Linked DNA regions of Drosophila melanogaster. The gene in region 1 interacts genetically with each later gene. Each region holds a gene or a part of one and is shown in the gene's direction. Other genes may lie near its edges. The genes, in order: vvl, Lim3 and lab.

The links.
Region 2: of vvl (region 1) and Lim3, changing one enhances a phenotype caused by changing the other (phenotypic enhancement), as found in Drosophila melanogaster (one study listed by BioGRID).
Region 3: of vvl (region 1) and lab, changing one suppresses a phenotype caused by changing the other (phenotypic suppression), as found in Drosophila melanogaster (one study listed by BioGRID).

Annotation. Positions count from the first base shown.
Region 1 is NT_037436.4:6,785,533-6,797,968, forward strand, and holds vvl (ventral veins lacking), read left to right. Parts: upstream 1-4,625; 5' UTR 4,626-5,293; coding exon 5,294-6,577; coding exon of another isoform or gene 6,578-7,522; 3' UTR 7,523-9,409; downstream 9,410-12,436. UniProt on the Drosophila melanogaster protein: Binds to a DNA sequence element required for the expression of the dopa decarboxylase gene (Ddc) in specific dopaminergic neurons. Could also play an early role in specific ectodermal cells, and a subsequent role in the embryonic nervous system.
Region 2 is NT_033779.5:19,101,833-19,112,020, reverse strand, and holds the start of Lim3 (Lim3), read left to right. Parts: upstream 1-3,593; 5' UTR 3,594-4,634; intron 4,635-5,745; exon of another isoform or gene 5,746-5,855; 5' UTR 5,856-5,949; coding exon 5,950-6,298; intron 6,299-9,111; exon of another isoform or gene 9,112-9,168; coding exon of another isoform or gene 9,169-9,633; exon of another isoform or gene 9,634-9,670; coding exon of another isoform or gene 9,671-9,853; intron 9,854-9,916; exon of another isoform or gene 9,917-9,977; intron 9,978-10,188. Other genes in the region: amd (alpha methyl dopa-resistant), read right to left, coding at 1-20; CG17344 (uncharacterized protein), read right to left, coding at 9,169-9,633; CG43731 (uncharacterized protein), read right to left, coding at 9,671-9,853.
Region 3 is NT_033777.3:6,673,740-6,683,949, reverse strand, and holds the start of lab (labial), read left to right. Parts: upstream 1-5,359; 5' UTR 5,360-5,603; coding exon 5,604-6,819; intron 6,820-10,210. UniProt on the Drosophila melanogaster protein: Sequence-specific transcription factor which is part of a developmental regulatory system that provides cells with specific positional identities on the anterior-posterior axis. Required for proper head development.

The DNA of each region.
Region 1 (12,436 bases):
TAAACTCTAATCTCGAAAGTGAGTTAAGCAAATGCAGTGTTTGGGTTTTAAAATGAAAATTGATTTGATTTTATGATGTAAACATAAATATATTGTTTATATGATGGGTAATATTGTTTATAACTTATTAATATATTTCTCAGCGAATTTTGGATTTTTGATTTTTAAGTTAACATTTATACATGTTCATGCTTTTAAATTTACCCTAGTAAAGTTAAGGCCTTTTTGAACTGTTCTTCTTTAATCGGCTTTATCATAACCTACTTAACTACTTAACGAGCGTTGAAAGCAACGCTTACCCCACATAAAGGCAAAAAAAAAAGTTGGAAAAAAATTGTGTCCAGGTGTTGCAACGCTTTTTCGTACCTCCTCTATGTCGTTCGCCAATAATTCACGACCCTGACGGGTTCGCTCTGCCTATGGGACGTGTCACAGCGCCGCAGAGATAAATTAGTTAATAAATAAAAGGGAAAAAATGCTAACTAATTTGCATATTTGCCCTTTGCGCGGTCTCATTGACAGTTGGGCGTCGGGCTTCAATGCCAAAAGCCAATGAGGCGCACCAAAAATGCATTTAAACCGAAAACGGGGCGATGGGTCGTTCTTCTACCCTTTTCGATAACAATTGCCATTTTGTGCTCCGTTCGCATTTTTACTTTATGTTTTTTGTTGCTGCTGGTCTGTGTTTTTTTGGCGGGACGCAGAAATTTTCTATTTTGGCTGTGCTAATTTGCATATGACAGCAAGGATGTGCGTGTGTGTGCTGGAATTTTGGCAAACTCTACTTCTGAATTGCTCTGCCAGCTTGTGTTGGTTCGTAGGTAGCGAAAGTGAAAGGATTCGGGCCGAAGACCCAAAGGATAAGCGCCCTGATTGCATACCAGAGACTTTTTTAACGGCCGCTGCATGCAAAATTGCAAAAATTGAAATTGCAGAAGGGCCACACGAAACAAAAAAAAAGAAAACGAAAGAAAATGATAAATGGTTGGGTTGCATCCACGGGAGATTCGGATTTGCCTATATGCAATTTGCCTACACGGATAGATAGTTGACCTTGCCGAAAAGCGTAATAAAGGGTTGCTCAAGGGTTGTCTTCTTCGGCGGCCTCGTCTTCAGGACTTCCTCACCATCCTGTTGTTTTCTTAAGTGCTTGTCTCTCCGCTATTTTTTTTTTTTGGCGCGCAAAAAATAATCGAGAGTTGGGCATATGGTAACGAGTTGTCCGAGGCTTCTTCTTTTTACGCAAATGGATTGCAGCTGATGATGATGCCTTCGATGTGTCTCTCTAATGAAACGTTTGTTTGCAAATGAGCAAAATAGATAGATCCGGAAATGGGGTTGGGGTGAAGGATGGAAAGGATGGCAAGGGGTTGGGAGGACGATGCTAGGATTATTTGCATGAAATTTACTTTGAAGATGATGTAGGTAGGACAAGGTAGGGATTAATTGAATGCGAGAGTTTTAATCGATTCTCCTTGGGTTACCTATCAAATCAACTGGGCTTCTAAGGGTTAACGTTCAAAAAAGGAGATCGTATTATCTGTTAATGGTTGAAGGGAATCATGTTTCAAATGATTAGATGGCTTATGGATTTTCTGTCTTTAGTTAAGGTTACATATTAATTTTAGAACACATTAACTTGTGCCCAAGCTAAAACTTCTTTGTTTGTTTATAGCTTTTATTAATTTGCTTTTAATTGCCTTTTTTAAATTAGAGTTACGACTAACACTTAAAGATATACACCCACTGTGCCGAGTGGCATATGCAATAAAATAATGCTCTTCATGCCGAAAATCCTGTTCAAATGCATTAAATACAGCTTAAACCGATAAAATTACTTTGCATTTGCCACAAATTAGTCGACGTGTTTTATTTCCCCCCACAAATATAGAGATTCGCATACTTATCGAGTGTGTGAGCGAGTGTGCATTAATTGTATTGCGCGATAAACAAAGCGATCAAAAGCAGACCAGTTTATATGTTTTGATTCGGAAATTATGGCACTTTAATTACCAAAGCAGACGTTGAGGTTTTCGGCTCTCGCTCGCACTCGCACTCGTTTGCCGGTCGGGATGGCAAATTAATGCAAAATAAGAAAGAAAATTATGCTAATAATTATAAACAAGTGCGGCCCGAAAACGAGGTGTGAGATAGAGACAGCCGACCGGAGAAGGAGACGGGTAGATGGTAGATGGCCATATAAAAATGCAGCCGAAATGCTAATCGAGCTCATTATCATCCAAATCAACGGCGCCGTGGACGCGGCCGCCACGAGATATCTTCCATTCATAAACGCAGCGCTTAGTTGTATATATATATGTATATTTTCCTGCTCATTTTTTACCATCGCATCGTTTTTTATTTACTCGCATGCGGCGCATAATTATGCAACAAGTCCTTTGCTGGCCACAAAAACCAAAAACGCGGCGCGTGCGCATTTAGCATATGGACAAAAAAACGTAAAGCAGAAAAAAGTGACAGAATCACCGAGGGAGGATGGCCAGCAGAAACAGGATTTCTTCCTTCGCTTCGACATTTGAAATTTAAATACCAGCGTTTTTTTTTTGTTTTTTGTTTTTTACTCACTCGCTGTTGTTATTTAGCGCCGCCACCTAATTATCATGTAAATTTTTGTCTAAGGACCAACAATGACTGTGACTTTATTTTGTCACTGGGGTTTTTGGGTTGGAAACGCTTGGCTTATTAATTATGCCCAAGTGCGTGGCCAAAGGATATGGTCATGGAAAAAAAAACGTAAACAAATTTCATGCAAATACGCTCGAACTTGTCTGGCTTGCGTCTGCTCGGCTGGATGACCTTAGTTTGCATAATTTTTTGATTGAGCTCTTGACCTGCCTCAAAGGGGTCTAAAACTATGCTAAGTATTTTGTGGTGGGTGTTTATGGGATTCTTGGGCTAGTTATGTGTGCCAGGATTTATTAAATGAGAAAATATATGAGAGGGTAGCTTTGAACATTTTATGCATTAATTAAATATATTTTTTAAGTGGGAAAATTCTGAATATATGTTGACATATTTAAGGGAAATAGTGGGAAAATAATAAGTAATTTTTTTTTTAGAAAGGTAAATTTGGTTAAATAAGCTATTTTATGTCTGCATATATACATTTGACGGCAATTGGCTTTGAAGGCGAAATAGATTTCCATTGATTGTGTGCAGAGTTTCATTCATTCATTGTTTTAGGAAACATAAACTTTTACGGATATTTTTCATTTGATTCTTCGCATTGTCCCATAACGCTCCGCTAAATCAAAAAACTTTAAAACTGCACAGCCAGAAACAAAAGTCAGTATTCCAATGATAACTTTAACGATGGCAATTCCTTTAGCTATGCAAATGTATCGCTAGTTTCGCATTAATTTCGCAAAACTGATCATAGAATCAATGAAACTGACGGATGAAGTGAATCAATATCTTTTGTCAGTGAAACATAATTTAACTGTAAAGCAGTCAAAACACAGTCACAAACACAATGAGCAAAAGAAAGATATCAAGGTGGAAAAGAAAGGTATATTTTATGTAGGCAGCCAAACGAAACTTATATGCATATGAAAAAGAAAATTATAAAATATTCATCGGTAAAATGGTTATTTTTTTAAACGAAAATTTTAAATATCATTTCATACTAAACACTAATTTACTTTCTTTAATTTAATTAAGCTTCACTCACACATATTATAAACTGAAAAAATACAAATAAGATTTTCTTATATAACACATTGGTTAAATATTTAATGGGACACGGTCTATATAAAAAATATTTTCAACAGAATTCAGCGAAATTTGAATTGTCCAAATTCAAGTTCAAGATTTATTTATTTTTCATATTGATAATCAAATATTATTTGCTCTTAAATATTTTTACTATGCACACTTTTTTGGATGAACGATAAATAGTTAAATATTTAAACTGTTTATTTGTTTAATTCCTTTTCTACGCCACGTTAGTAATATGTTCTTCAAATCGCAATGGCAACCACTCCAGATGTCCCCCCTCCCAAACAAACACACACACTCACAAAGCCAAGGGAAAAGTTGTCTGGCCAAGGAGCTGCAAGGAACTGAAACAAAGCTCCCCGAACGGGAGAGAGAAGTCCTGGACGCAAAAGCTCCAACTGGGAGATGGCACTACGTGTAATCCCTGTGTTCCCGATAGCTGGACTCGAAGAAATCGAGAGATGCGCCGTCGCCGTTCATATCATCTCTCGCCCTCTCTCGCTCGCACTGGGCACTGGGCAATTAAAAATGTCACTCTGCATGGGAATGCACTGAGGGAACTTCGTAGAGCCGGCTCTGGTATTATTTTTTCATCTCATATATTTTTTTTGTTTTTGTTGGTTTTGGGGGCGTAACGCTGGAATACAGCGAGCCCAATAGAGCGCAAGTCTCCCTTCCAGTTGCTCGGTAGAGCGTCTATCTCGCTTGCCGCACCAATGGCGGTGCTGCTCGCACACATGGAACGCTGGAAGGCCAGCGGACAAACTGGTTTCGCTCGCCGGGGTGTGTGTGCGTACTGCGCTCGTTGGTGTGCGTAAACGTATCGGTGTGACGTACCGCCGAGCGTCGAGAGCGCTCAACGTAGAGCTGCGGTGCGAGACATGACGTTAGTTCACTTCGATAGCTCTACGAGTCTGCACGTGAATTTTCCCTGGGCTCTCGGCTGTCTTGACTGCTCAAATCTCACAACACACAATCTCAAATCTCAATCGGCATCGAATCGGTCAAGCAACCCAGTAGAAACACACATTCGAGAAATCTCAATCTGTATCTGAATATCAGAGTTCTGCGTTCTGACCACTGAGTTCTATCGATGATTTAAATCGTTGCGAAAAATCGCCACAAAAAGTGCCAAGTGTTAGAAGTGCTAAATGAAATTCGAAAATAAAAAAATCTAAATAAATAACCAAATAAAACGCAGTTAGCTCAACGCTAGTCAAGCTAAATAAACGTGAAACCCCAAGCAAATTGCCGTCGGATTTTTTACTTAACCCAAAGCTGAAATAAACTTGTTGAACGCGTTCGAGGGCCACGCCCCCAAAAAAGCAAACGTCGAACCCAAAAAAAAACAAAATAAGCGAAATAGAATATTTTTGCGCCTGCCACGTTGCCCGTAAAAGACGTCAAGACGGTTGCCTCACGGTTCGAGTGGAATGAGCATAGGGACCCTGGTCTTCCTTTCGATCGATCGGTGTACAAAGTCGTTAAACTGAGCCCCAACTTGGAGCCCTACCCCGCCAGCGTGGAGGGCCTGAACAGCCCCAGAGCGGTGGGGATGGCCGCGACCTCGTACATGACGCCGCCGAGCGGTGATCTGGACATGGCCCTCGGAGGCGGTGGCTATCACACCTCGTCGCCGCGCTCGGCGGCTGATGCCGGTGAAATGAAGTACATGCAGCACCATCATCATCATCATGCCGCTGCCGCGGCAGCTGCCCACCATCAGTTGCCCTCGTCGCCATCGCCCAATGGCCAGGGCAATGGTGGCGGACTTGGATTGGGTTCCGGTTCCGGGTTGGGCTCATGGAGTGCCCTCCATCCGGATCCGTGGATGCAAACCCATCATACGCACCATCTGCCCGCCGCCGCTGCCGTTGCCTCGGCCGCTGATACCGTCAAGCAGGAGATGTCGCATCTCTCGCAGCAGACGCGCATCCAACAGGGCATGGCCTCGCCCCATGCCGCCTGGCATGCCCCCCATGCGGGACACTATGCGCCAACGGGCGGGTCACCGTTGCAGTACCATCATGCCATGAACGGAATGCTCCATCATCCGGCCCATGCGGTTGCAGCGGCCCATCATCAGAGTGTGGCGCCACTGCATCATACGCTGCGCGGGGAATCGCCACAGCTGCACATACACCATCACATGGGCGGCGGCGATCGGGATGCCATAAGCGGCGGCGAGGAGGACACTCCCACGTCCGATGATCTGGAGGCCTTTGCCAAGCAGTTCAAGCAGCGCCGAATCAAGCTGGGCTTTACCCAGGCCGATGTGGGCCTGGCACTGGGCACTCTCTATGGCAATGTGTTCTCCCAGACGACCATCTGCAGATTCGAGGCACTGCAGCTGAGCTTCAAGAACATGTGCAAGCTGAAGCCGCTGCTGCAGAAGTGGCTGGAGGAGGCGGACTCCACAACGGGTTCACCCACGTCCATTGACAAGATCGCCGCTCAGGGGCGTAAGCGCAAGAAACGCACCAGCATCGAGGTGAGCGTGAAGGGGGCACTGGAGCAGCACTTCCACAAGCAGCCGAAGCCATCCGCCCAGGAGATAACCTCGTTGGCCGACTCCTTGCAGCTGGAGAAGGAGGTGGTACGCGTGTGGTTCTGCAATCGGCGGCAGAAGGAGAAGCGCATGACGCCGCCAAATACGCTCGGCGGCGACATGATGGACGGCATGCCGCCGGGCCATATGCATCATGGTGGCTATCATCCGCATCACGATATGCACGGCAGTCCGATGGGCACACACTCCCACTCGCACAGTCCGCCCATGCTGAGCCCACAGAATATGCAATCCTCGGCGGTAGCGGCGCATCAGTTGGCGGCCCACTAGCAATCAGAAATCCAGGAGTCGAACTCAGCTGCAGCTGCGTCCACTCCTGCATCCCTCAATAGTCTAAGCCAGCAGCAACAGCAGCAGCAGCAACAGCAGCAGCAGCAACACCAGCAACAGCAGCAACATCAGCAGCAGCAGCACACACCGAATACACCATCCTCCAGTGCGGGATCATCGGCTACGATGACCAGCCAGGTGATGTCGCCGCAGAGTCCGCTGGGCAGCTCCTCCGCTGGCAATCAGGCTAACAACAATAATAATAATAATAACAACAACAATAGCAGCACCAACAATAACAATAATAACAATAACAACGAGGAGCAAGTTAAACACCACCAGCAGCAACAGCAACAACAGCAGGCATCCAGCATAGCAGCCGCTGCAGCAGCCGCCATGTACATGGATCCCATGCGCTACCAGCATCCGCACCACCCGCATCCGCATCCGCACCAGCATCCGCACCTGAATCCCGCCCACCATCCGCACCTGTTCCACACGAGCGATCAGTTGCAGCACTCGCAGCAGCAGACCGTCGGCGGCACCAGCAGCAACTCCCAATTGTCACCGGGTGCCGGCAGCAACAGTGGCCTGCCACTCCAGCCGCCCAGTTCCGCCTCGCCGGCCGGATCCGCATCCTCGGTGCTTGGTGGCCATCTCAATCTGAATCCGCTGCACCAGCACCACCACTATCAGCACCACCATCACCAGCAGCACCACCACCACCAGCAGCAGCAGCAGCAGCTCCACGCCCGCCGACTCTTCGAGTTGAGTCTGCAGTTTGGAGCGGCGGCGGCACCGGGAGCGGTACGGCACTTTAACAGCTTTGGCGGGGCGGGCGGAGCGGGTGGCGAATAGCATTCGTCGGCCGCCTGGTTCGGCTATGAGTCCTCCTAGGATTCGGCGTCGAATGGGTGGCCGCATTTCAAGCGGGAGCAGCCCTAGAATCGTACAGTCGAACTTCTCTAACGCGAACTCAGTTGGTTCGATTCGAATGATCGCAAAAGTAGCTATCTAAAATTTAACTAGCTGTGAGCATTTCAGAATATTTCGTAAGTCATAAGAATATTTTTGAAATTTTTCAATATTTTATTTCTGCGGTGTTTTGAGGTTTTTTAAAATTTGAAAATAGCATTTCACAGTGTTCTTAAAATCTGTTACTAAATTGGCGACTGAAAAAAATCATTTTAAACATATATACTTAAACAATATGAACCATATTGAGTTCCACGTTAGACAAGCTCGACTGTATGCAAATCTTTAAAGAATAGAAATAAGATGAGGTCCGTCGATGAGGTTGAGAAATCATCTTTTTTACCAGTGCATTAATCTGTGTTAAACTTCAGCTTAAATAGGAGCAGGGAGTGGAGGAGGTGGAGAAGATGGGGAGGCTGCCATCCACCATTTTAGTTTGTTTTAAAGTTTGAAAAACTTGCTTAAATTAAATCAAATTAACTAAATTAAAATGTAAACGAAACATTTCCTTTGTATAAAAGCGAAAGAAACACGCAATTCAAATCAAACGTGAAACCAAGTGATGTTGTTTTAACCTAAAAACTAAATGCTAAAAAATTAAACTAAATGAAAATAAAAAAAACAGAGAAACTAGTTAAAAGTGCGACCCAAGTGTTAAAGAAACCAAAAAAGACAAGCAAAGAAAACAAATTCCTCAGCTGCTCTCCATAAGCAAGGTAAATGTTTCCATGCCCAAAAGTCCACAAAATATTTTTTCGTTCAACACTTTGTCGCCGTTTAGATCAAGTAAAAAAAAGGCTCAATGAGAAAGAAGGCAGCGGTGGGAGAACTCGGTGGGTTCTAGATAGGGTCTAGGTTCTTAAGCAAGCCGTGTTTATATATATTATATATATATAGCCAGTAGATTGTACTCTAAAACATCTATAAACGAACAGAACGTAAAACAGAAAAAGAAAAACGTAGAATTTAACGCGCGGCGAAGTAAACAAAAATACGAGATGAAGGAAGGATTAAGTAAAATATGAGAAAACCCCAAAACATCTGTAAATAAAAACTTACAGTTAAGTCATATTTTTTAGCTTTAAATGCAATTGTAGATTTTTTAATAAGCCCCCCTAAGAGAAAAATCATTAAAAATACAACCACAAGCGAAAAAAAAATAAACAACATTTACAAAATATAAATTTTAATTTTTAGGCGGTAATTTTTAATGAATAGGCACGTGAAGTTTAGTTACTTAGTACTGTACTTTCTATATAAGCAAAAGGAAATCGAATGGAAAACAAAAATGAATATAGCTAAATCTTAAAATTTAAACAAACCAATAATAATCAAATACCACAAATGCTAAATTGTAATATATTAATTGATGTACATTAAAACAAAAGGCAAACTAAATGCTAAACGACAAACTTGAAATTATTTCAAAAACAAAAATAAACGAAAATTGTGTAAAAAAAATCATCTTTGTGTTTTTTGATATACGTTTACATTTATGTCTACTTTTTCTATTTTCTTATACAAAAACCTAAAAAGAAAATCAAACCTTATCCTTTGGTGTAACTTTATATATTATAGAATCTAACGAAATTTTTGTTTAGTGTACTTTGTTTTGGTATGTTGAAAACTATGCTGTAAGAGCGAGAGAAGCGAAGCCGAATATTTAAGATTAAGCCATGCCCTCAACTGTATAATAAATTATATAGACGTACATATATATGCAACAGCAAAGTCAACAAAGCGGTGCATTTCCACCTACACATACACACACCCACACACCGAGGAAAACCAAGAAGAAAAAACTGAAAAGCAAAAAAAAACTCTTAAAAAAAAACAAATAAAAAAGAATATTATTCGAAAAAAAAACGCACCGTCCTTTTATTATTATTTAATTAGCGGCATCATTTATTTGCATTTACTTTCGTCCGCTTTTTGGTTGTGAAGTTTATGAGTCGTTGGTTTTGACAGTTTTACAGGAGTTTTACGGCCACCTTTTGCAGATGCTGGTTACGATAGGGCGTTTATATCGATGAAATCGCGATAATTGCGTGTATTATTAATTTCGTTTGTTTGCTTAAAGTGTTCGAAAAGCCATTAAATAATTAAGTGGGCACATTATAATGTGATTGCCTACGTCAGAGAGGGAGCAATTGGCAATTAACTAACAACACAACTCGCAGATCGAGTAATACCGCTCGTTAATGAAAGTTGCCATTAAAAAGCGTGGCATTTCGTGAAATTACCCTTTTATAAGGCCTTAAGTGCTGCTGGAAGCACCTGATGGATCTCTGTTTGTCCCTGGTCAATGCGCAATCGTTGAACAAAACAAAAAGAGCACCGACGTCAATCGAAAGGCGATTAAAGTGACAATTTGCCAGATTTACGCGGTCAATTTAATTTACGAAATAAGTTGGGTGTATTTTTCGTTTGCAGAAATCATTCAAAACTTCCCAATTCGTCAAGGTATTAGTATTATGTTTAAGTCCTTAAATTTTTAACAATTTAAGTTGTTTCCAAAAATGAAAAACAAATTCATGAAATACCATTAAAGTCGTCTCATTCCACCTGCACATTGCCCCCTGGCCGCCTTATTGTCATCTAATGTACCGCACGCTTTTAACATTTAATTTATAATTTAAATGCATATTTCATTGGATGCTGATTAACAATTTTGTGCCGAAATGCTATTGGTTAGTAATTCTGCATAAAAATTGCATCAGCCCGAAAAATACATATACATACATACTCGTATAACCCGAGCCCTCTCACTCGCTTTTGTGTGCGAAATAAATTCGCATAATTGAAAGCCAGTTTTAGGCTTAAATATATAAACAACAACTGCCCCAAAAACAATAACAGTAACAAATAACAAATAATAACAATAATATATATTGTACAGAAGCGCAAGTGCAATGATTTATATTTATGCGACGGCAATAATGCCGTTTAAACAAAACGAAAATATCGGTTGTTATTTTTGTTGAAATTGAACTCTTGGCGCGCGTGGTTTATAATGTTTCAATAAAGCGTACGGAAAATGAAAAATAAAAATGAAAATTATATTTTCCGCACCAAACTAAGCAAAAACACCCACGCGATGCGCTTCATGCACTTGAACAATATAATATCGACAGTATTATATTATCCACCCATATAATTATTCTCTATGCTCTCTTAATTATTTTCTAACAAAAAAAAAGAAATAATAGACGGCGAAATGAAATGAAATTTAATGGGGAAACAACATGGCTGCCCACAAGCCTATTTATACGTTTATCTATTGCCACCTGCCATTTTGGGGTAGTTGAACACACACACACACACGCACACACCCACTCGTGTAGATGAAACCTGCCCCTCGGGCTATATAAACTTTTATATGGAAAACGGAAAGGAAAGGTTTTTTTTTTAATGGTCATGTGCTAGTTGAAATGCGCTTTAAGAATTTATGGGATTTTCGAAGGATTGTCCAAAAGAAATTGGGGGAAATTCCTGACTGATTAATCATGGCTAATGGATTTGCTGTATTTAAATGTGAGGTAATATGAGGTATTTTCATATTGCTACTTATTACATATTATATAAATTTGATATCTTTACTTATTTACTCCTTATCTCACACAAGTTTTAGACTTTTTATATTGCCGATTAATCTACCTAATGGCCTATTTGAATAGGCGAATATATCAGCTCTATATATTTATTTTCTCCTCTGCCTAATGAAAATTATACTACCATTTTATAGTCACTCCATAGTTAAAAAGCACATTCCACATTATTCGATGATAAAGAAAAGCCACTAATCTACGAGGGCAAATTGTAGTTTTCATTGGTTTTAATGTTGCCGTGCGTGCAAAGTGCGACAGCGGCGGCAACACCCCCTACACACCCTCCCCCATATGTACATATTTAAGTATATATATATATATACCCCGACCATATCTATAGAGAGAAACCCCTCCTCGAGGCAAAACTACCGACATTTTCATTATTATTTCGAGTGGAGTTGGTTGGTTTTTTATTATTTCGCGTGGCAAAGCAACACGCCGCCTGCTTTTGTACATTTCACTGTGTGTGCTTTTTGGGCTGCGTGCATACAACCGTGTCAATAATTACCCGTGGGACTGACACGACCAACGAGAATCATTCAAATGTTGCAAAGGCAGCAGAAGCGGCAGCGGCAGCAGCAGACGCAAAAGCACCAGCGTTCCACTAACAATGGCTAAAACAAAAGCTACAGCGGCGGCAGCTGAGAGACACTGAAGCTGGTGAACCGGCAGCAGAAGTTGGTAACGGAGAATCGGGCCACAATGGTCTCGGGCATATTGCCATTGTGGCATTACTGCCGCCACTCCGGCAAAATGGCTGACTCTAGTCAACGTCACCCGAAAGCCAACTGACGAACTGGCCGACTGACCATTCCACAGGAGCGGATTAACTATGGGTTTTGGTCCGGGCTTAGAATTTGGGAACTATAGAAATTACAACATTCAAGCATCAAATTAAAATTTATATATTAAATTATTTTTACGCTTGCCAATTTATTATTATTATACGCTTAAATAATATTATATTTATGTACTATATTATAGTATATCTACAAACATAGTTTACTTAATAACTTAATAATACATAATAGCTTGGTAAGCTTTCGAAACAATATTTAATTTCTAAATTTTCGAAATATATTCTTCTCAGCTCTCTAAAGGTCCGAACTCGTGAAATCCGCCCCTGTGATTGGGCCGCACTTTCCTTCTGTGCGACTTTGGCTTTTGGCTCCGGCTGGGCGACTTTTCCACTGACATTCGGAGTGTCGGGGACTCTGTGCTCATTATCTATGCTTCCTTTGGGAATTTTCATTTTCTTTTTCCGCGCTCCTCTGTT
Region 2 (10,188 bases), on another chromosome or scaffold:
CGAAACTCCTTGGCATCCATACCGCTGACAATGTTGCGATATCGTTTTCTATTTGCACTTTTTACGTTCTGTTTGTTTTGGTTTTATTTCCCCGTTTTCGTTTTTGATTTGTTTGCCCAACTCGATTTCAGTTCCCGATCCGTTGATGCTCCTCCAAGTTGCCTGAGGTTCACTCTGAAACCGATCGCCGGTGACGGCTGCCTTTTATACTCCGACTTCTCTGGACAGCCTCCAGAGCTGTCGGTTCAGCCAATCTGGCTAGTTTTGAGAAATCATTAAAAACCGGCGCAACTGACTTGTTTTATTCTTTTGATCTAACTAATTTAGCTTTGATTCGTTGATACTTTAAAATTCAAATGCGAAGTTTGTTCAATTAACATAATCAAAACATTAAAATACTGTTGAAAGTTTATAGAAAGGAGTGTGTACTATTTTATACTACTTACACAAAGGGGTATATAGTAATAGGTTTATTCTTTTATACGAGAGTGCCATTCAAATACTTTTTTTTTCAATTTAGCTATTAATTTCGAAAATACCTATATCCGATTGCTCTGCACAGTGATTTGTGAAGCGTGTCCAATCTGCGAGATTAGGGAACGAATCGGTCACCGGGATTATAGTTGGGTTCGTATATTTCGTGCCATATATTTATAGAAAAACAATTACTTGGCAATTTTCTTAATCGTTGAGTGCCTATCTCCTGAGCATATTTATCGCATAGTTCTTTGAATCGATAAGGATTTCTCAAGTGTTGCGTTGATTTGGCCAAAAGATTTTGTTACCAACGACACTCGAACAATAGCTGGTGGGAAATCACTTTGGGTCACAAACTGTTCCCACTTTTTTGTTGGTCGGTTGGCGCTCTCTTAGCCCCTCTCTCTTAGGCAAATTGATGACAGAAATTATAGTTTTAAAACCAATTGATTATTGTTGGTTGTTATTGTTGTTGACTCTAATGAACAATAATTGTAAATTCACGTGTGAATAATTTAAGGCTCTTAAAATGAAACTCTTTCAAATTTGTCTCTTTATCACAATAAAAAGTAAAAAAGTTCAGTATTAATAGTTTTTAATATATAACGATCATAAGCTAATCAAACGTGTATATTCGCTATATTTATCCGAATTTAATTATCATGGCAACACTTTTCAGATACAATTAGTTTTTTTAAGTAATTATATGAAATTTAAGTTTTAACTGACCTTTTTTTTTATATCATTTTTCTAAGAAAACACAATGAAGAAAGTTGCTTATGATTGTTCTTCCACATTAATTCATTCACATTCACGCACGTATTTAATATGAATATTCATTTAAAAAAAGGAGAATCTGCTGGATTTTTTCACCATTTACATATGTATATAGCTTACCCAACTGAATCCAAGGACTCCGATGCCCGCGATCAGCAGCTCACCGATGATGGAGCCCGCCGACGAGGATGACGGATAGAAGGCATTGAAGTAGGGCGATTGCCAGTGGGTCAGACCCGGCAGGATGATGTTCTCCAGATCCTTGAGGACCTCGCGCCAATGATCGGGCTGCTCGGGAATCTCCTTGGGCAGCTGATTGATCACCGCATATGGAGCCGTGCTGGGCAGGACATCCCTGTTGGAAGAAACACAGAATTTAGAGGCATCGCTCCAAGGATAAAAGTCCAGACACACACCTCTCACGTATGCCGCTCAGATAGTTGATAAGGAACTCGATGGAGGCATGGCCAAATTCACGGAACTCATCAAAGTCCATGATCCTGGTTAATCCAAAAAAAAAGGCGCGATTTACTTTGGGGGGGAATTTGGGTATTTAGCCGCTCCGCTGGTTCCGCACTTGTTCACCGCTGACATTCGAATCTACAAATGAGCTGGCTGCGCTTTAACCAAGTCTCAATGAGCTCCGAATCTCGAGACCCTCCAATAAAAAGTTTGGGGGGGAACTCCAACAACGTTAACAAAAATCCGGCTATGTGTGAAAATGTGCAGTGGCAGCAAGTTTTTTGTCTTTCTGACTGGCCCATTGCCGAGATTTATGTTTATGTAACTACCAAAAGACACAATAGCGAAAACAAGATCGCCGGACAAAAGTTAAAAATGTCGGTGAAGAAAATTTAAACAAACTGCTTGTTAATTGTCTATTAAAATGTGTTATCCAAACACTAGCACTGCTGCTTACTAAATCTCCGCCATCCCCCCCAAAACCCACTGCCGATCCGGTTCCATATCATCACATCATCAGCAATTAACCGTCCCAAGTCGAGCCCATTTGGCAAAATACTTCATGTGTCTAACCATTAACGGCTCCATTAGACAGACGTCTGCGACAAAAGCGTTGGAAAATTTGAAAGTCAAAGTCGATTTGGTAACCGCGGAAGTGAAGCTCCGCCTGGGATGCCATAGATTGGGATCGCGTTGGATTGAGTGCATCGGTTTCATCAGCCATTTCCATTTCCATTTCCATTCACGATCAGTTTCAGTTTCAGGGTCACGCTGCATTTTTATGCTCTTACCCTATATTTTTTTATAATCGGTACTAGTTGGGTTCAAGGGTATGCCGTGTTTTCGTGTTGTTCCGCACGCGTAACGAAAGCCCAATAAGAAAATGCTGAATGTTTAATAAAGGAAATATGTAATATAGTTTATACAGTTTATAGTTTAGCTTCTGTGTAATAGTATCCAATATATATTACAGGCAAGCTGTAAATGATGATGATACAAAAGTCTTAGTATAAGTATGAAGTAATACATTTTACAGCATAAGATGGAATCATGTTTTTTTCTAATATTTATACGTACTTTGTATCTGGCATTTTATGCAGACTTTCTCAGACCGGGCATACTTTTCGAGCGACCCACGCACTCCAGCTGTTCGCGTTCCTTGCTCCGCCGCAGCGCGGAACCCAACCCACAAACGACCTTCCCTGCTAGTGTCCACTTCGGTGGGTGGGCGGAGGTCATCCGTTGGGAGCGGGGGCGTGGGGTTCTCGAGCATGGCGTTGGGGTTCAAAGTGTTTGGCAAAGTATTTGGCGCGCTCTAAGCGGCTCATAAATAAATGCGAAAACAAAATCGTTTTTGCAGACGCAACGCATTTAAGGGGTTTTCGGGACGGGTGGCAAGTATCCACTATAGATATAGGGGTTCCGAAACTACACAGACAGCGAGAATCCTATGCAGATACAGCGAACTCATGGGCAACGGGTGACTCGGGCATGGAGTAGCAACTTCCCCCCTCTCCCATCACCCTGCCAGCTTTGGGTTTTCGAGTGCGCCGGCGCTGGAACGACATCGAACTCTAGGAATAGAAGCGTATGGCCACCCCAGCCCCATTTTAATGGCGACGCTGGGGCGATAAGATAATGGCCACTGCCTGCGCATGCCTGGAAGTTCTTGTTGCTTTTGGACTCTATCGTCGGCCGATTTCCAGCGATTTTCAATATAAAGGGGCGGTGCCTGTTTTCCAGTGGAGACCCCGCATTTTTGGTGACCGCGCGCCGCGTATTGACTTGGACCTTTGAGTTAAGTTTCTCATATTTGTTTCGCCTCAGTCGACGTCGCTGCTGACTTTTAAGTGCTGTTTACTGTTGTTTTGGGGCCAACGAAGGTGTCGCGCTCGACGTTGGTTGGCTTTTTGTTCTACCCACTGTGCTGTTTTCCTTTTTTCATTTTTTTTTTGCCCCTGCACTTTTGCAGCTCAAGCTTCTTGAGGCAGAGGGAAACAAAAAAAAGTTTCCACACCTTCTTTTTTCGACGAGGCTAAAGTTTTTGCGTTTTACAAATATTGTAATGCTCTTGGAATTTGGACTTTTCGGGCAAATGGGCATCGCCAGAGAGCGACACACACATGCGCACGGCCTCCAAAAAGAAGCACAAAAATGTTGTCGCTGCTGGCGTTGTCGCCTCGCCGCCTTGTTGCCATTGTTGTCCTGCCATTCAGGGCTGGCTGTATGCATTTTACCATATCATTTGTGTCACATTAGGATCAATTGGTAAACACACGCCCGCACACCCGCACACACCCACAGATAGTACGTATACGCACGGCGTACCCATGTGGGCGGCCAAAAGGCAAACGGCAAACGGCACACGAATACAAGACGAAAGGCAAAAAACAAAAAAAAAAAAAAAAAAAAACAACAGCGTTAAAAGCTCGCACAGTCGAGAAAAAGCGTGAAAAAGTGCGCAAAGTAAAAAGGAGAGACGACAGTTTGGACGGCCAAGAAAATAAATAAAGATGCAGCGCGGCAAATAGAGGGGATTCCCACCAGCAACAATACCAGCCGCCTGCCAGTGTTGCCGCGTCCAGGGTTGCCGCCGTACCGTTACCGACACCGTTACCGTTTCCAGACCGTTACCTTACCGTTGGGCAAACACCGTTAGCCATGCCGCCGCCATTTTGTCGCACTGGCTTCGCATTTGCCGTCGTCGTTTTCGCTGCCGAATCCGTTACCGTTACCGTTAAAGTTGCCGATGCCGTCGCCAAAATGGCGTTCGCATAAAATCGCGTTCAAGTGCCGCAGAAAATTCAAACGAAATAATACGAAATGTTGAAATAAGAAAATTAAAAACCAGCCAATAATTAACAAAGTTAACAAATACTAGAGTTGAGTGTTAAAGTGACGCAAAAAATTTTAATAGGGTAAATGCAAATCATTTCCACTGGTTTTACGATTCCGTCGCATAACGAAAGGCTCAATAAAAAGGCTAAAATTCTGAGGAACTATTGAAAAGAAAGCCAGCTTGATTAAAAAATGGAATGTTACATTTTAACAGTAGATCCTTAAAACAAAAAAGTCTATTGAGCAAATTGTGTTGAGAAGAGTTACAAAACCAAGATACGTTTAGGATTTTAAAATGTTTAGTATATGAATTTTAATACTAACACGATTGGATTTTGTTTGTTTTAAGATTTAAGGCAATCAAAATAAGATTAATGTGCGATTTCCAACTCCCGATGTTAGCCATTTTAATTTCAATTTAATCTTAGGAGCTTTGCTCCTAAAATTAAATTTCTATAAAATAAATTTCATAGTATTTTGTTTCATTTATATATGATCTTCAATCTTAACTAGTTTCCAAATACTGAAGAACTATTAAATGGAAATTTCCGATTAATTATTCTACGTTTTAATATTTCACAAAAAATAAATTGTTTACCTATTTTGTTTGTTTGAATTTCTATAAAATAAATTATCTTCAATCTTAACTAGTTTTCAAATACTGATAAACTATTAAATGGATATTTGCTATCAAATATTCTACGTTATAATATTTCACAAAAATTTTTTTTAACTATTTTGTTTGATTTGGGAACCATTAGCAGTTCGTTTTTGATAAAAAAACCTTGGACATTGACCGTTTTTTGATAGATAGTATAGTGCACATCCGATTTGTTGTCTTCGCACGAGAATTCTCCTCGTGATAGACGATGAATAGATATGCGCCAAACGGTCTTTTGAATATCTACCGATCAGTTTGGCCCTATCCTCGGCTTACATAAAGTTTACCCGCCTTGCACTTGGTCGAAAGCACCCGAACAATAGATGGTCTAGTGTGCCCCGGTATCGCAAACAAATTCAAATTGTTCAAGTCCCTGGCTACTTCAACTGATAGAGCAGCCGAGCACTGAGCACGAGCCCAACCGAGTGGCAAGACTGGAATCTAGATTCTACCGTAGAAACCGAAACCCAAAGAGACCGCCGCGATAAGGGAAAAACAGTCAACCGGGCCACTGTTGGGCACAAACCAATGCCAGTTATCGAGCAGACAGCGATCCCGCCTAGCGGAGTCTCGTTTAGACGCTAAACGGGAAACGAGTGCGGTAAACTAACACAAAGATTGCTTTTTAAACACCAAACAGGGCTAAAGATACAAACGTGTGCCAATTGGAATAAGCTAACTGAAATATACATATAACTCATACGACGCGTGTTCAAATCGCCGGCCCCTCAGCAATGATGCAAACCCTGAAACCACCGCCACCGCTACATCATCACCACCAGCATCAGCACCAGCTCCAGCATCCGCCTCAGCAGCAGCCACATCCGCATCAGCAGCTGCAACATCCGTTGCAGCAGCAACAGCACCTGTCAGCCATGGATAATCACCAGCAACATCAGCCGCATATCCATCAGCAGCAGCAGCAGCAGCAACAATTGCCACCCACGCCGCAGGCATCTCACCTGGTCGGTGGGCAGCAACAGCAGCAGCAACATCCGCACCACAATCACCTGGCTGTCGACCAGGATGACCCAAATCCCGAACTGGTGCTCGCCTTAATTTCCAGGAACCGGGCGCTCGAGGGTAAGTGGCCAAGTCATGCCATCTTTGATTCAGTCCTGTCCATCTGAAGGCTGCCTAGGAGATTTTCCTGCACAGTGAACAAAAATGTTTGCCAAGAATAGTATATTATTAAAATGTTTGGTTTTCAAACTTAGATTACATTTTTGAATTTTATTTATCAATTTATCAATTTTTGAAATGAAAGAGAGAATAGTCGTATTTACATTAAAAAATATCGTGGTTTCTTAATTTTGCTTTAGTAAATATTGAGAATACAGTTTTCATGTTAAAACCGTATATTTCACTTCTGCTGTAAGTTAACCCTTTGAATACACTTTGCCCATGTGTTGGCCGCGCCTTAATTATGCAAAGTTTTTGTTTGCGCTCGCCCTTTGTTTTTATGAGCGACCAGAAAGGTCTTGTGATGAAGATGAGTTGGGGTTATGAGGTCGGTCTTTTAGGGTCACATAAGAGCCTTGCGGTTGGCCTGGCTTTGGCTTTGGCTCCTCCGAACTGGGGCTTAAGTGTTTTTCAATTAAATACGAAAGCTTTCCCGGTGGCAGACCACCATCTTCACATCTCCACATCTCCACATCTCCGAGCAGCTCATTTCGAATGCCCTTTTAGGAGGGCTCAGTGTTGCGGCTGCTCGGTTGGACCGCCTGCTTTTTTATGCACTCCGCCACGGAATAAATGTATGGTCCGAGGGGACTTCCTGCAATATATATAACTGGCAAAGTTCCGGCAGAAAGTTTTCTTTGAGGATATATGCATGGTGAATGGCTCCGAAGGAGATGATTTATTGCTGCTTGAGATGGCTCAAGGATGGTCAAAGGGATTTCTTTGTGCGAGTTGCTTATGATCCAGGCCTGTCACATTTATGATTTCGTTTCATACATGTGCCGCACTCGAAAATCCCACGCCAAATCAATCGGCAATCCCCGGACTAAAAGCCAGCCCAGAAAGTTGACAACTGACTGCGGATTGGAGTCGAGTCGAGTCGCGTCGAGTCGCGTTGAGTCGCGTCGAGAGTGGAGAAGATGACATCGGACAGGGACACGCGCCGCTGATGAGAACAAAGCCGTAACCAAATCCAATGCGAAACTGTTGACAAACTCCAAATGTCTCCGGCATTGTTGCTAATGCGCTGGGAATACCCGGTCACCAGTGGAGGCGGTCGTCCACTGCACGTGTGTTCCCGGCCGAAGTTTTCGGGCATTGAAAAGAGCAGGCTCAGCCGTTTAGCCATTTTCCCGGCTTCAAGTGCGGCGGGATTTCGTTTTTAGAACACGCGTAATTACAAACAAATAAATATAGATTCCTGGGTGGAAAGGAGGGGGGGGGGGGACGGATCCGGGAAACCGCATGTGCTGGGACCTGCGGATCGCCTTGGTCGAGCCTTCGCCACGTGTCACTAATATCCACTGCATCCCTGACAAAGTGCGTGCACTTTGGAAAAATCCAGTAAGTCGGGAATGACTTATCCCGTTTTTGGTAGAGGTCCAATTTGAAGCGGAACGGAAAATCTAAGGTATTCTTAGTATAATATATTATTATAATATCAGTATGATATCTTAAACACCTTAACCAACCTGAACTTTAATCATGATTAAATCTGGGCACATTTCAAGGGAAAGGATTGGAGTTCTGGTTGACTACACACTTCATGAAACTGGAAGTTTTAGTAATGTTGAATCTTGTTTCTAACCTTCATGTTTCATTTACTGCTCTTTTGTTGCAGTGTAGTTGTGTACTTTTCTCGCAGTGTAGCTGGGCTGGGCTTAGCTGGTGTAGCATGGCAGTTCGTCGGTGTCCCAAAGGACTCGAGTGACGTGTGCCGGGCGATGTGCAAAACGAGCAGAAAAATTGAATTATGCGCTTGCGGTGCTTCTTTCGAACCCATGGAACCCCTGGAACCCCTGAAAACCCTGGAGCTGCCTCTGCCTTTAGAGCCTGCCCTACCCCGAAGCCAAAGTCCGCCCATCACCCCGCCCATCACTCGTTTCGGGCAATCGACAAATATTTTGTTATTTGCACATAAACATATTTATCGAGTTTGGGTTTGGTTTTCCTTTCGCTTGTTTCAAGTGCGTACGCGCACCAGAAAAGCGAAGAAATGGGAAAACTGCGGGGAGGGTGTGGTGGAGGGAGAGGGGGAAGGGGTGAAGGGTACGACTGTACCCACGGGTGTTTTGTTTCACCCGTTCGCCCGTCAAAAATTGTGTAAATATGTTTATCATTTCCACTTGCCCGGCGCACTTAGTGCTCGGCAAACAGACGATCCACCCCGCTGCCAGGACCTCGTTGTCCTTGTGTCCTGTGTGTGACTGGAATTCTTCCCAACGCACTTGTCGCTCAACCGCCGGCCGCGTGTCCTTCGTTAGCAGTTCTTGTGTGGCTTTCCTATTAACGTGCCTACAGCCCGAACCACCCCCTAAAACCCCCCACCACTCCAAGTCCTTCTAAGCGTATCCGTTTTCGGTTTGTTCCCCCTTCCTTCCTTCCCTCTTTCCTTCCTTCCCCGCGTTTCCGGAATGGGTTCCGGCAATTGTTGCCTTTGGCTTATGTAATTTGTCATAATGTCAACAGGCGCAGATCACGCAGTACAAGCAAACACTTCACTCGAGAACTGATTGTCCATTGAAAAGGCTGAACGAAGTTTGGCAAGCCCATCATTTGTAGTCGAAAAAGTGATTAAGTAGATGACTTTTTAAAAGAGCTCAATTCGCTTTGAAGATATTGGTATGTTTTGTGGACTGGATTTGCCGGAGGTCAATATTTTTATAACTCAAAAAAATATATTAAATGGAATAATAAATCTGTATGCTGCAAATGGGGATTGAATAATTATTTTTATTGTGGTTTATATATTTTAAATGTGTAAGAAGTGATCACATGTAGCTGTATGCAATTAGATAGATCACTGGTCCATTTGCGCCTCTGATTAAATGCATCTCGCTGGCCAGCAATTCCCGCAACTCCCCATGAACGGTCTGGATGTCCTCCTCAGTGGCTCCACTATGGATGGGCACGTAGATCTCCCAGAGGAAGTCCGCTGGCGGATACGCGTAGGGATTTTGTCTGCTGGCATACGAACTACTTTGCGAAAGGAGCTCGTAACCAGGCACCGTTCGGTAGCTACTCTCTGTGGTGTAACCTGAGATTTGGGATTCGGATTCATCCGATTCAGATGGAGATTCCGATGGTAGAGACCATGGTGTCATCGCCAAATCGCTTCTTGCGGCTAATAATCTGATTCCGTTATCCTGGGATCGCGATCTGAGCGGTTGCAGATGCCTTATTCTGCTAGATTCCATACAGATCTCCGAGTGCGTTCCCTTGACCCTGTTCTCCATCTCAATCGGATAAACTCTCTTCTACCACATGCAACTACTATTCCAGTTCGAGATCGTAAAGTTTGGAAAGATTTGATTCCACATCGGCTGGGCAATCGAAGTCTGTGTTGGTGCCATAATCCTCAGTAAAATCGGTTTGAGTATACGAACTGAATGTCTTGTATATCCTGGCCAAATCGCGGCGAAAGGCGTTATAGGCAGTCAAATTGATATCGGACATCTGTGTGAAAAGAAGTATATATACTATATAGAAAAGCTATATTGAAATAATTTATGTCCTCACCTTTTTTTTTTTTTTTGAATTTTGAATTTCGGACCGAAATTGGTGTCCTTGTTATATGTTTAAGGAACGGAATGTAAATGAATTATCGAGTTGAATTTGACAAATATGGTAGGGCTTCCTTGTTTATTATTAGAGCATATATACATATATATGAAAGCTTACTGCATAAATAGAGCTTCCGATGAAAACTAATATCCCATGCAGCTTCTCTATGAGGATCTTGTTATTTTTCCAAAAATAGAGCTGTACAGGAAAAGCAGCTCCCCTGGGTA
Region 3 (10,210 bases), on another chromosome or scaffold:
AGTATTAGACCGAAATAAAAAACCATTACCTTTTGGGAGCAATTTTTTGAATATTCATAGTCAGCCCAAAAGTATGCAAGAATATTTTTTCTTGCTGACCAACAGGTGGTGCTAAATTTCCTGATTTCGCTTTCCTTAGAAATAAATCAAACAAATACATATATACAGGTAACAAAACGGTTTACAAAAATGTTTTATATGTATGTATATTAAAATATGTTTTATTTAAAAAAAATGTAACTTTAAAATTAATAAAAAAGAATTCACGAAATGCTTAAAAATTACCTTACGAGACTAAAATAAAAGCGTCGCAATTGTTTTTCCTTATCTGATTTCTTCGTTATATTTCAATGCTTTGACATTTCTAAATGTTCCAAAAGTATTTTACTTTCACCACGAGACTCACTCAATTGCCTGCCTGCCAATCAACAAATAAATCCTATGGGTAAGCATTACTTCGACTTCCTTGTTCAGCTGCTTTGCACAAACATCGTACTTCTCCAGGGAAACAAGGGTAGATAGACTGTTGTAGCAGTAGGGGCTGTTCCATGGAGAAGTCTGCTCCGATTGGTTCGCTTCTGCTGCGAAGCGGATAATGAGAGTGTGCAGACTGTTGTCTCGCTTTAACTTTATCCGTTTCAAAAATGAAAGACTGTGGCCGTGCCATAGGATTTTCTTAATGCCGGTTGGCTTTATTATCACTTACAAGCCGGTTTTAGCATAAATTTGCATTTTAAACAGTCAAGGTCAATCACAAGTTCTTCTGTTATGTTTATCGTGCTCAAATTACACAAAAGATTAAATTAAGTAAACATAATAAGCTTGTCATTTACAACAAACAATCAGCCTTCGGAAACGGGCAAAGTTTTAATAACGCTTTCTTTGGTTTTTTTCTCAATAGTACTTTATATTTGTAGTCCATGAAACAAACGCCAATTTTAAGGACATTCTAGACGAGTCGCATATATCATATAACCATTTCCTAAAACACACACATAAAACATATTTAAAATATCATCCAATTGCCTTATGTAAAAAAGTGAATTTTAGGGTTTAATACAGCGTGGAAGAGATGTTGTTGCAGTGAGAAGCGACTCCTTCCTCATAAAAGATATACATATTTTTCTTTTGTAAACGTTTTACGTAAACTAGCCTCTCACATTTAAGCCTTTCTGCTTTAAACTTTTGTATTCTGTTGAACTCTGACGAATATCATATGTTGGCTTACATTTAAGAATTATAAATTTAACCAAAAACAAAGCGCTTTATTTTACAGCCGCTAAAGCGATCTTTTATAAACATCCCATATTTTGTACTTTAATTCATAAAAATGTAATTCAGGTGTAAACAATTGCTTTTATATTAAAATTAATTAAATTAAATTAAATTTAAATGTAGTATATGTATATTAAACCATATTTGATTAAATTTTTAAATTTTGAAAAAAAAAACAATATGATATACTTAAGAGTTGTTTAAATGGACTGAGTAAGTATTTAAAGAGTAATAAATATACCGGGCAATTTTGCATTATAAAAAGAAAGGAAGCACTTTAAATATGCTTCGCGGCGACTCATCTTGCCGACTGGAAGCCACCGACTTATATGGAGGAATTTCTATAAGAACTCTAAAAAATTTGGCGTCGACAATTACAGGTATCAATCAAGAACATACTGATCAAGATCCACGCAAAGGGGTTTTGGAATTAGCCGAAAAATGAACATGTGATAAATTCAGCAACTCAATCAGTGCAGGAAGCTTAAAATCCTATTCATAAACTAACGAGTTCGCCTGGCCCGAATTCAAATTCAATTAAAGAGGCGGCGTACACACTTAGGACAACTCTTGGCCCATATGCAACAGGCATCCGTCGCCGTCTCAGCAGAGCTTGATAAACTAAATTTGGTTAATTAATCATTACAGGAGCGAACAAAACGCCCGAGTCAAAAGCTGCACAAAACCGAAAGCCCAGGAAAGAAAACGAAACAAAAAAAAAATGGCACAAATATCGATTTACCAAAAATTACAAAGGAAACCCGAAAAGTACCGCCAAGTTTTGTTCTTGGAGCGGTGACAGTCGGCGCCGGGCAATCCATCAATTTGGTTGCAGTGCCAATTACGCCAGTTACTCGTCACGTCACGTCTCGAAAACCGGCGGACAACGGACAGTGGACAGCGGCCAACGGACACCGAAAACCGGACAGATACGGGCTGCCGTGGGGAGACACCAGAGCTGTGTAGCAAGAATCGTATCGAACGGCGGCACTCCAAGTTCCAGAAGTTTTGGAGCTGTAGCTGCGGCGCCCCCATCAACTTGGCGTCAGCTTGTGGTCAGTTTTCCACTATTCCGATCGGCTGTAGAGGCTTGTCGCCTCTCGGGGCTGTTGGGAACGTCATCTAGCCCATATATCTTACTTCCGACGCTTTCATGGCGCTAAACAGACGTTGATGGCGCGACTTACAAATCCCCCGAAACCTATAAGGTGTGCGACGGGCACTTGACTGGACATTTATATGCACTAACGAGTGGTGTGGAAATAGCTTTTATGGTTAATCGATTGTGATATGATGAACTTTACAGATATACATACATTTATATTGGGATTTGAGTGGATCATAATTGATCAAAGCTCTATCAGATCATGATCAGAAATAATACAATTTTAAGGGTAATCAAATCAATGTGATTTACGAACGGTAATGCGTATATATATATATATATTTACATATATTACAATACTCAATACTCAATGTACTCAATATGTATGAGTACATGTTTTAATTTTATTTTTGAGCTTTTAATTATGTATGTATGTTTATCCTGGAATATTTTTAAATATTGTATGTTTATGTTATAGACATAGGAGTGTTGATCTCCCGCGCCTACAAAAAATACTAGAAAATATAGTTGCTTCGAATTGTCAATTCAAATGGGAATTCAAATAAACAATAGAAACCTCTATCGTAAGATATCGATACATATTACAAGACTAGCAAGCAAATTTAAAATATCAAAAAAGTTGGCGTGGGAGATTTTAAAACATTTAAAAAACAAATTTGAGCTGCGTCTTCGTCTCTCGGAAACGCCTCCTTCTGCCTGTTCAATCATTTACAACGTATCTAGTATAAAACCTTTATACTCTACGAGTAACGTGTATGAAAACAACTAATTAATAATTTGTACTATTACAAAGAGTTTTACATTTTAAAAAGTCATTAATTTACCATAAACATAATGCTCTCATTACAATGGATTTACACAAAAGTATCGAAAAATGTCTTTATACTACTTCAGTCTTAACGTAATTTTATGATAAAAGAAAAAGCAGAATATATATAACTTGTTTATTGCAGCAATATGTTCGTGTAAGAGTAAATACATAGAGAAAGTAAATTAACGGCTTCTGCCGTATGTACATAAATATAAATACTTAAACTTTAATGTTAAAGGCAATAACATCTTTGAGTTCTCAATTACGATTGTTAAACAACTTCATTACGACAAGAAAGATTGGCTGAGGGAGGAAGTATTGCATAACACCCCAGGAACTGTCAAAAATGATCCCAATCCTAGCTGAATGCTAAAACAAGGATACCTAAGCCTTGCATGTATTTCGCTTTAGCCATGTGAGATAGTTTCAGGCTTGGAATCGGGATTGGGCCGTGGTATGTTAGTTGTATATGTACATACATATGTATGTGATTACTGAAAGATACTCGCACACATCCTGTTACTATTAATTGCTGCTGTCCGAAAATATAACAAATCACCTTGGAGCGTTGGGCAGGACCGCCCGAAAGGACGAAACGAATGGCCACTCCAGCCGACCTCCCCCTCCGAAATTCCCCGTGCGAGTGTAGAGACAAAAACTTGTGAAAATGTCAATCAAGTTGAACAAAAAACGAAAAATTCCCAATCCGAGAGTGGAAGGAGCGAACCTCGAAGTTTTCCAGACAGCCAAAGATGATGCATTGTGCGTGAAAGGTGCATGAAGATATCTGACGGTTGTATCTCTATCCCTGCCAAGTGACAGACCCATACACCGGATAACTCTTAGGGGGCGCCTACGAATTGCATCCCACTGAGTCAGAGTCAAGGTCCGGAGATAATGTCAGGATTCGGGGTCTGTCGGGGTCGGGGAAGTCGTTCGACGACGATTTAAATTCAACAGTGCTGCCATAGATGAGCTGTCATATGTGCAAATGACGATTGACAGCTGCCACAGTCAGCATCCGTTTGCAGCTCCTCCTGGTCGCAACCCCGGTCCGCTCCCAAGCCGAAAACCCATTCCGAGTGCCCGGTTCGCATTTCCAATCCCATAGCAAGCTCCTCTTCTTTACCTGTCCGTCAATTCATTTGGGAATTTCGAGGTGCTAAAACGTGCCAAAACCGCAAAACAAACACACAACATTGGGTTTCCAGTTAAAACAAGACGTCGACATGAGCATGGTCAGGGGCGTAACTTTCAATACTATCAGCAGGCGGCAGGGGTGGATTAACTTGGACACGAACTGGGCCCAAAACATGTGCGAAAAGATTTTCGGGGCGAAGAGTTGTCTACTATTTAGTATTAATAAATACACATTTTATAAAGAGAATTTAATTACACTTGAGAAACCATTCAGATACTTTTAACAGAGAGTACTTTAAATAATACCTATATAAGGAATTAAAAACAATAATAACAACAACAATTTTTTGGATTAGAGCATAGTTTTGAATTAGTTTAAATTAGAAATAAATGGTCTTTATATTTCCCGACTTCCATATATGGCGAAGAAGACTTCGAGTAAAACTATTATGATGATAAGAAATAGTAAGTTTTTCTAATTGGCATACGGGAAGTGAATTGTCAATTGGATGTTTCAAAACATTTTAAGTAAGATCTAGAACAAGTTTCTTTAAAATGCTTAATGTTCTTAGGTGGACCGACGATCTATATAAGTGTTTCCCATTAATAAGGATCATTTTAGAGATCTGATCATCCCCAGCCAGTTCCACACCAGCTCATTGCATAATTTCAAGTTCCTTCATAGAACTCCCATCTTGAGTAGCCGTCAATCCGCTCCTGCCATGGCGACTAGCAAAAAAAAAACGAGCAAACAGGGAACGAGAAAATCTAAATGGAAACGGCAACTGCCAAAAACCGGTAGTTGAAATACGGGTATTTGTATATACGTATGACTAACCCCCGAACCACTGATAAGGGCAGTCATCCGAAGAATCCCAGGGAGCGAGCGAGACGGCAGTCGCAACACGTATGTAGCACACACGAGAGGAAGCGGGACCACAGGCAGTCTGCAGAGGGGCGTGGCCAAGACCAGCGGTTGTGCGGTCTGAAAGAAACCGGGTTCGGGCCAGTAATCAGTCACGACTTGGTAAGCGCGCAGGCAGCACGTCGTCGTCGTCATCGCCAACGGGAGTCGTGTTTTTCGGTTCGATACAGATAAAACCCACGTCGATAGCCCTCGACCGTCGCGTAATATTCTTAGAAAGCAAACAGCTAAAGAACTATTTCAAGAACTGTGTGGCAAGTGAAGGGTAGTTAGTGATACACCGGTTATATCGGAGTGGCGAGAAAGTGTGGTTCCGGCTGGACAATATGATGGACGTAAGCAGCATGTACGGCAACCACCCGCACCACCACCATCCACATGCCAATGCCTACGACGGCTACAGCACCACCACCGCGTCGGCGGCCAACGCCAGCAGCTACTTTGCTCCGCAGCAACACCAGCCCCACCTGCAGCTGCAGCAGCAGCAACAGCATCAGCATTTGCAGCAGCCCCAGCAGCACCTCACCTACAATGGCTACGAGAGCAGCTCCCCAGGCAACTACTATCCGCAGCAGCAGGCGCAGCTGACACCACCGCCCACCAGCAGCCACCAGGTGGTGCAGCAGCACCAGCAACAGCAGCAGGCGCAGCAGCAACAGCTCTATCCGCATTCGCATCTCTTTAGTCCCAGTGCGGCGGAGTATGGCATCACCACGAGTACGACCACGGGAAATCCGGGCACGCCGCTCCATCCTAGTAGCCACTCTCCGGCGGACTCCTACTACGAAAGTGACTCGGTGCACTCGTACTACGCTACCGCCGCAGTGGCCACAGTTGCTCCACCCAGCAATAGCTCACCTATTACCGCCGCCAATGCAAGTGCCACCAGCAACACACAACAACAGCAGCAACAGGCAGCAATCATCAGCTCCGAGAACGGGATGATGTACACCAACCTGGACTGCATGTATCCCACGGCCCAGGCTCAGGCTCCGGTTCACGGATATGCCGGCCAGATCGAGGAGAAATACGCCGCCGTCCTGCACGCCAGCTATGCACCCGGAATGGTGCTGGAGGATCAGGATCCAATGATGCAGCAGGCCACGCAGTCGCAGATGTGGCACCACCAGCAACATCTGGCAGGCAGCTATGCCCTAGATGCCATGGACTCGCTAGGAATGCACGCCCACATGCATCACGGCCTGCCCCACGGACACCTGGGCAACTTGGCCAACAATCCGCATCAGCAACAGCCACAAGTCCAGCAGCAACAGCAGCAGCCGCACCAGCAACCGCAACATCCGCAGAACCAATCCCCAGCGGCACACCAGCAGCACCACCAGAACTCCGTGTCGCCCAACGGTGGAATGAATCGCCAGCAGCGCGGGGGAGTGATCTCCCCGGGTAGCTCCACTTCCTCCTCCACCTCCGCCTCGAATGGAGCACATCCTGCCAGCACGCAATCAAAGTCGCCAAATCATTCCAGCAGCATCCCCACCTACAAGTGGATGCAACTCAAGAGGAATGTTCCAAAGCCTCAAGGTAAGTTGAGCTAGAAAGTAAACTCGGAATAGGGTTTCAATGGTTGAAACAGGCTCAAATTACTACGTCCCGAATGATTTTATTCCGTTTTTCTTTCCTTAAATAATCGAATTTTTATTCCCTTCTTTAAGTATTTTAGAATTATATAATAAATAAGGTAAATATAATAGAATACTGACACAAAAAAATGCTCCTACTGATATATTCTCTAAATAAATCAGATGAATATATAGGGTTCGGTTACTTTAAAAAATTGAATTCTCTTTATTTATTTTTAACACTGATCAAGTAGTCGTTTGATATTAAATACCTAATTAAATGCTAATTGAAACTATTGCAAATTTATATTCGTGGACATTTCGAATGACGCGAGTTGTAGAGGCGTATAGTGAAAAGGTCTTGTTGCAAATTTAGAACCAATAGATTAACCCAAGTCGTTTTATCAAGCGCTACAATTGCCTTCTTTCCTTGTGAATGGATACAAATACATTTAATTTGTGCAATTTTTATTCAAGTTGTTCGCACATTCGCAATGTCTGCATTCTAAGGGCAACTAAACGCGTCTCATTAGGCAAAGTCTCTGGCAATTAAGAAACCGCATTCTTAGCTAATTGCCATATTTTAACTCTTATAGTTCTCTAAACTCGTATAGTTCGCTCAATAGATCACATATAGCTTACGGAATGTATTAAGTTAATCGGACAGTTATTATGGAAAGAAATACACACACTTCTATACATACGTATGGTGATTTTTTTAAGAAAAGCATAAGAAAGAACCTCAAGTAAATACCAAAAAGCGTAAAACGATGACTTTCAAAACTGATTGACAGGCCAAGATACAAGAATCAGTCAACCAGTAAAACCAGAAGAAGATGAATAAAACTGTGAAAGAAATGACGTCGAACGAGCAGATTAAACAATATTATGAGTACATTTATAAGTTAGAGAACTTGGCCATCAAGAATAGATTGATCATAAGTATGAACAATTAGCACTGCAGAAATATTAGCAAACATAAAACAAGTGGATGCGTCAGACAAAATGTCAAGAAAGACGTCCAACCGAGGGCATGTCACCTAAAAATATTCCTGTCTCTTCAAATGCCAAAGATTTCGCCCACCTCTGCCCTCGGCTCTACAGCCCCCGGCTACAGAATCTCGATTCTCCCCGACCTCCACGCCCCTTTCCGCCTCTCATAACTGTCGCCGTTCTCCTGGACTCTCCTCCTTTGGCACATTTCTTGCATATTTCAGATAATTTTGTCAATGCCTGTGCAGAGTCAGTCAGGTTGTTACTTGTCACATTGGCGAGTGGAGTTTTGTATCTCGGAATTAGCCAGCTAAGAAAATGTATTCGCTTTGATAAAAAAGATCAGAAAAGTCCATATTGTATGCGATAAATAAAACGTCGTCGATTATCCAAAAGAAGCAGCTGCCACTGAAAAAACGAGTATTTTTATTGATACTTCGTGAATTGCATAAAATTCGAGCGTAAGCCTTTAATTGCTTTTCAAAGAGTTTGAGGTCAGTCGAATAAATAAATAAATAGCAACTAACTGAATGGGGGGGCACAGGTGTTTATGGCTCACCCTGAAATTTGTAATATACGTAATTGTTGGAAAAGGTTGTAGAACAAAGTTGAGGTCGAGTTTTGAATGGTTTAATTTCTTGGGTTAAATATTTCTATTAATACAAAACTATACCAAAGAAAATTATATAATTTAAAGCATGTGACCATGCTGAAAGGTTTTTCCAATAAAACAAATTGTATTTATTTGTGAAGGGATTAGCTCCGCATTTGTTACCCACATTGCCATACTCCAGCCATCCTTCCAAACCTGTTGACCGAATTCATTTGGCCTGTGGGCCTCTTCTGGTAATGCACTTAACCTGTTCATGAATCGAGTTGCACAACTGACGCTGATCGCTGATATCGGAGCATCGAGCCTCGGACCACTTACAGTTCAAACGTTAATCCCCCGGCTACACCAATAATCATACAAATATTTGCTTATTAATGCTGAAAAGTGTCATTTACATGCATCGTTTTCAATTAAACGACGCCACAGAGGCCCGAGTCGAACGCAACCGATCCGAGATCCCAGATTCCAGATCCCAGATCGCCGATCCAAAATCCCCACGCGCCGCACCCAAAACCGAACCTTACAGCTCGAGGCCCAAATACGAGCCCAAAAGCCCCTCAGATGACGCGTGCAAGTGGAACCAGGCGCTTAGATGGGGAGCAGGGTGGGGCAGAGAGGTGTAGATTGCACAGAAAGAAAACTAATTGGTTGAAAATATCAATTGTTGTTTCAAAAATAGGGTATTACTCGCCCACATATTGATTAACTATCATGGTAGCCATCCTTAGGTTTATTTTGTATCAACAAAAAGCTATTTTATAAGATTATTCTAGCTGGGAAATTTTATAATTTTAATTTTAAGACCCAAGTAGAAGTTCTTTAGATTCGATTTCGAATATGGTTTTTCTCAATGTGTTCTAGGGGCGACCGCAAGTCAAACAAACAATTAAAGCGGCTGGGAGATGCAGCTCGAATCCAGAATGAAACTGGCTGCATGGGGCGGGGGCACAATTTGGGGGGCAGGGGCTGCTCCACGGCATGCCGAACTGGAACTGGAAGTCAAGTTGGCTGTCAGAAAAAATGATTATTTAAATAAGAGTCTCTCGTTTGAGCCTCACTGCAACCGAACTGTCACTGAGCAATGATCTGCTGCCTCGTGGCTCCCCTGGAATCCCTGGGATGCTGGGATGCTGGGGCTGCTTCTTGGTTTCTGGATACTGGATGCTGGGAGACGCTGCTCGCTGTGAGCACATGCTTGGGTCCATCTGTCATGTCATCCATTTTCAGGCAGGGAAACAGCATAATCAGCAATCGTGGTTATAAATGGTAGCGTTCGACATATTGGCATTCACGCACATACCGACTGGATGTCCGCTGACCAGGCCACGATTCAAAGAGTTCTCTAATGTGTTAATCAGCATTTTTCAGTAACCAGACCGAGATCGGTCGAGGTTGGAGCAGGAAGGAAGAAGGGGCTTGCTCCCATTGCCATGAAGATTAATGGACATTTTTACAGGGATTTGTCACTGACTAGAAATTGGTTTAAGATACACAAATACACACGTAGAACTTTCCACTTTTTCAGCTACCAATATCAATCAATGCGCGAAATCTCGAAAATACTTTTGGCAAGATTATGATGACACCTAGATAAAACTAAAATTAGCCAAAGTTGAAAAAATAAACCGACCAAGGAAACGAAAAACTTATCCATCATTCAAACGTCAGTGTTAAGGAATTTAGAAGTCTTTCGAACTAAACGTTTGTCCCATTCAAGTGGTATAAGCTGACACACAGTGTGCGAATG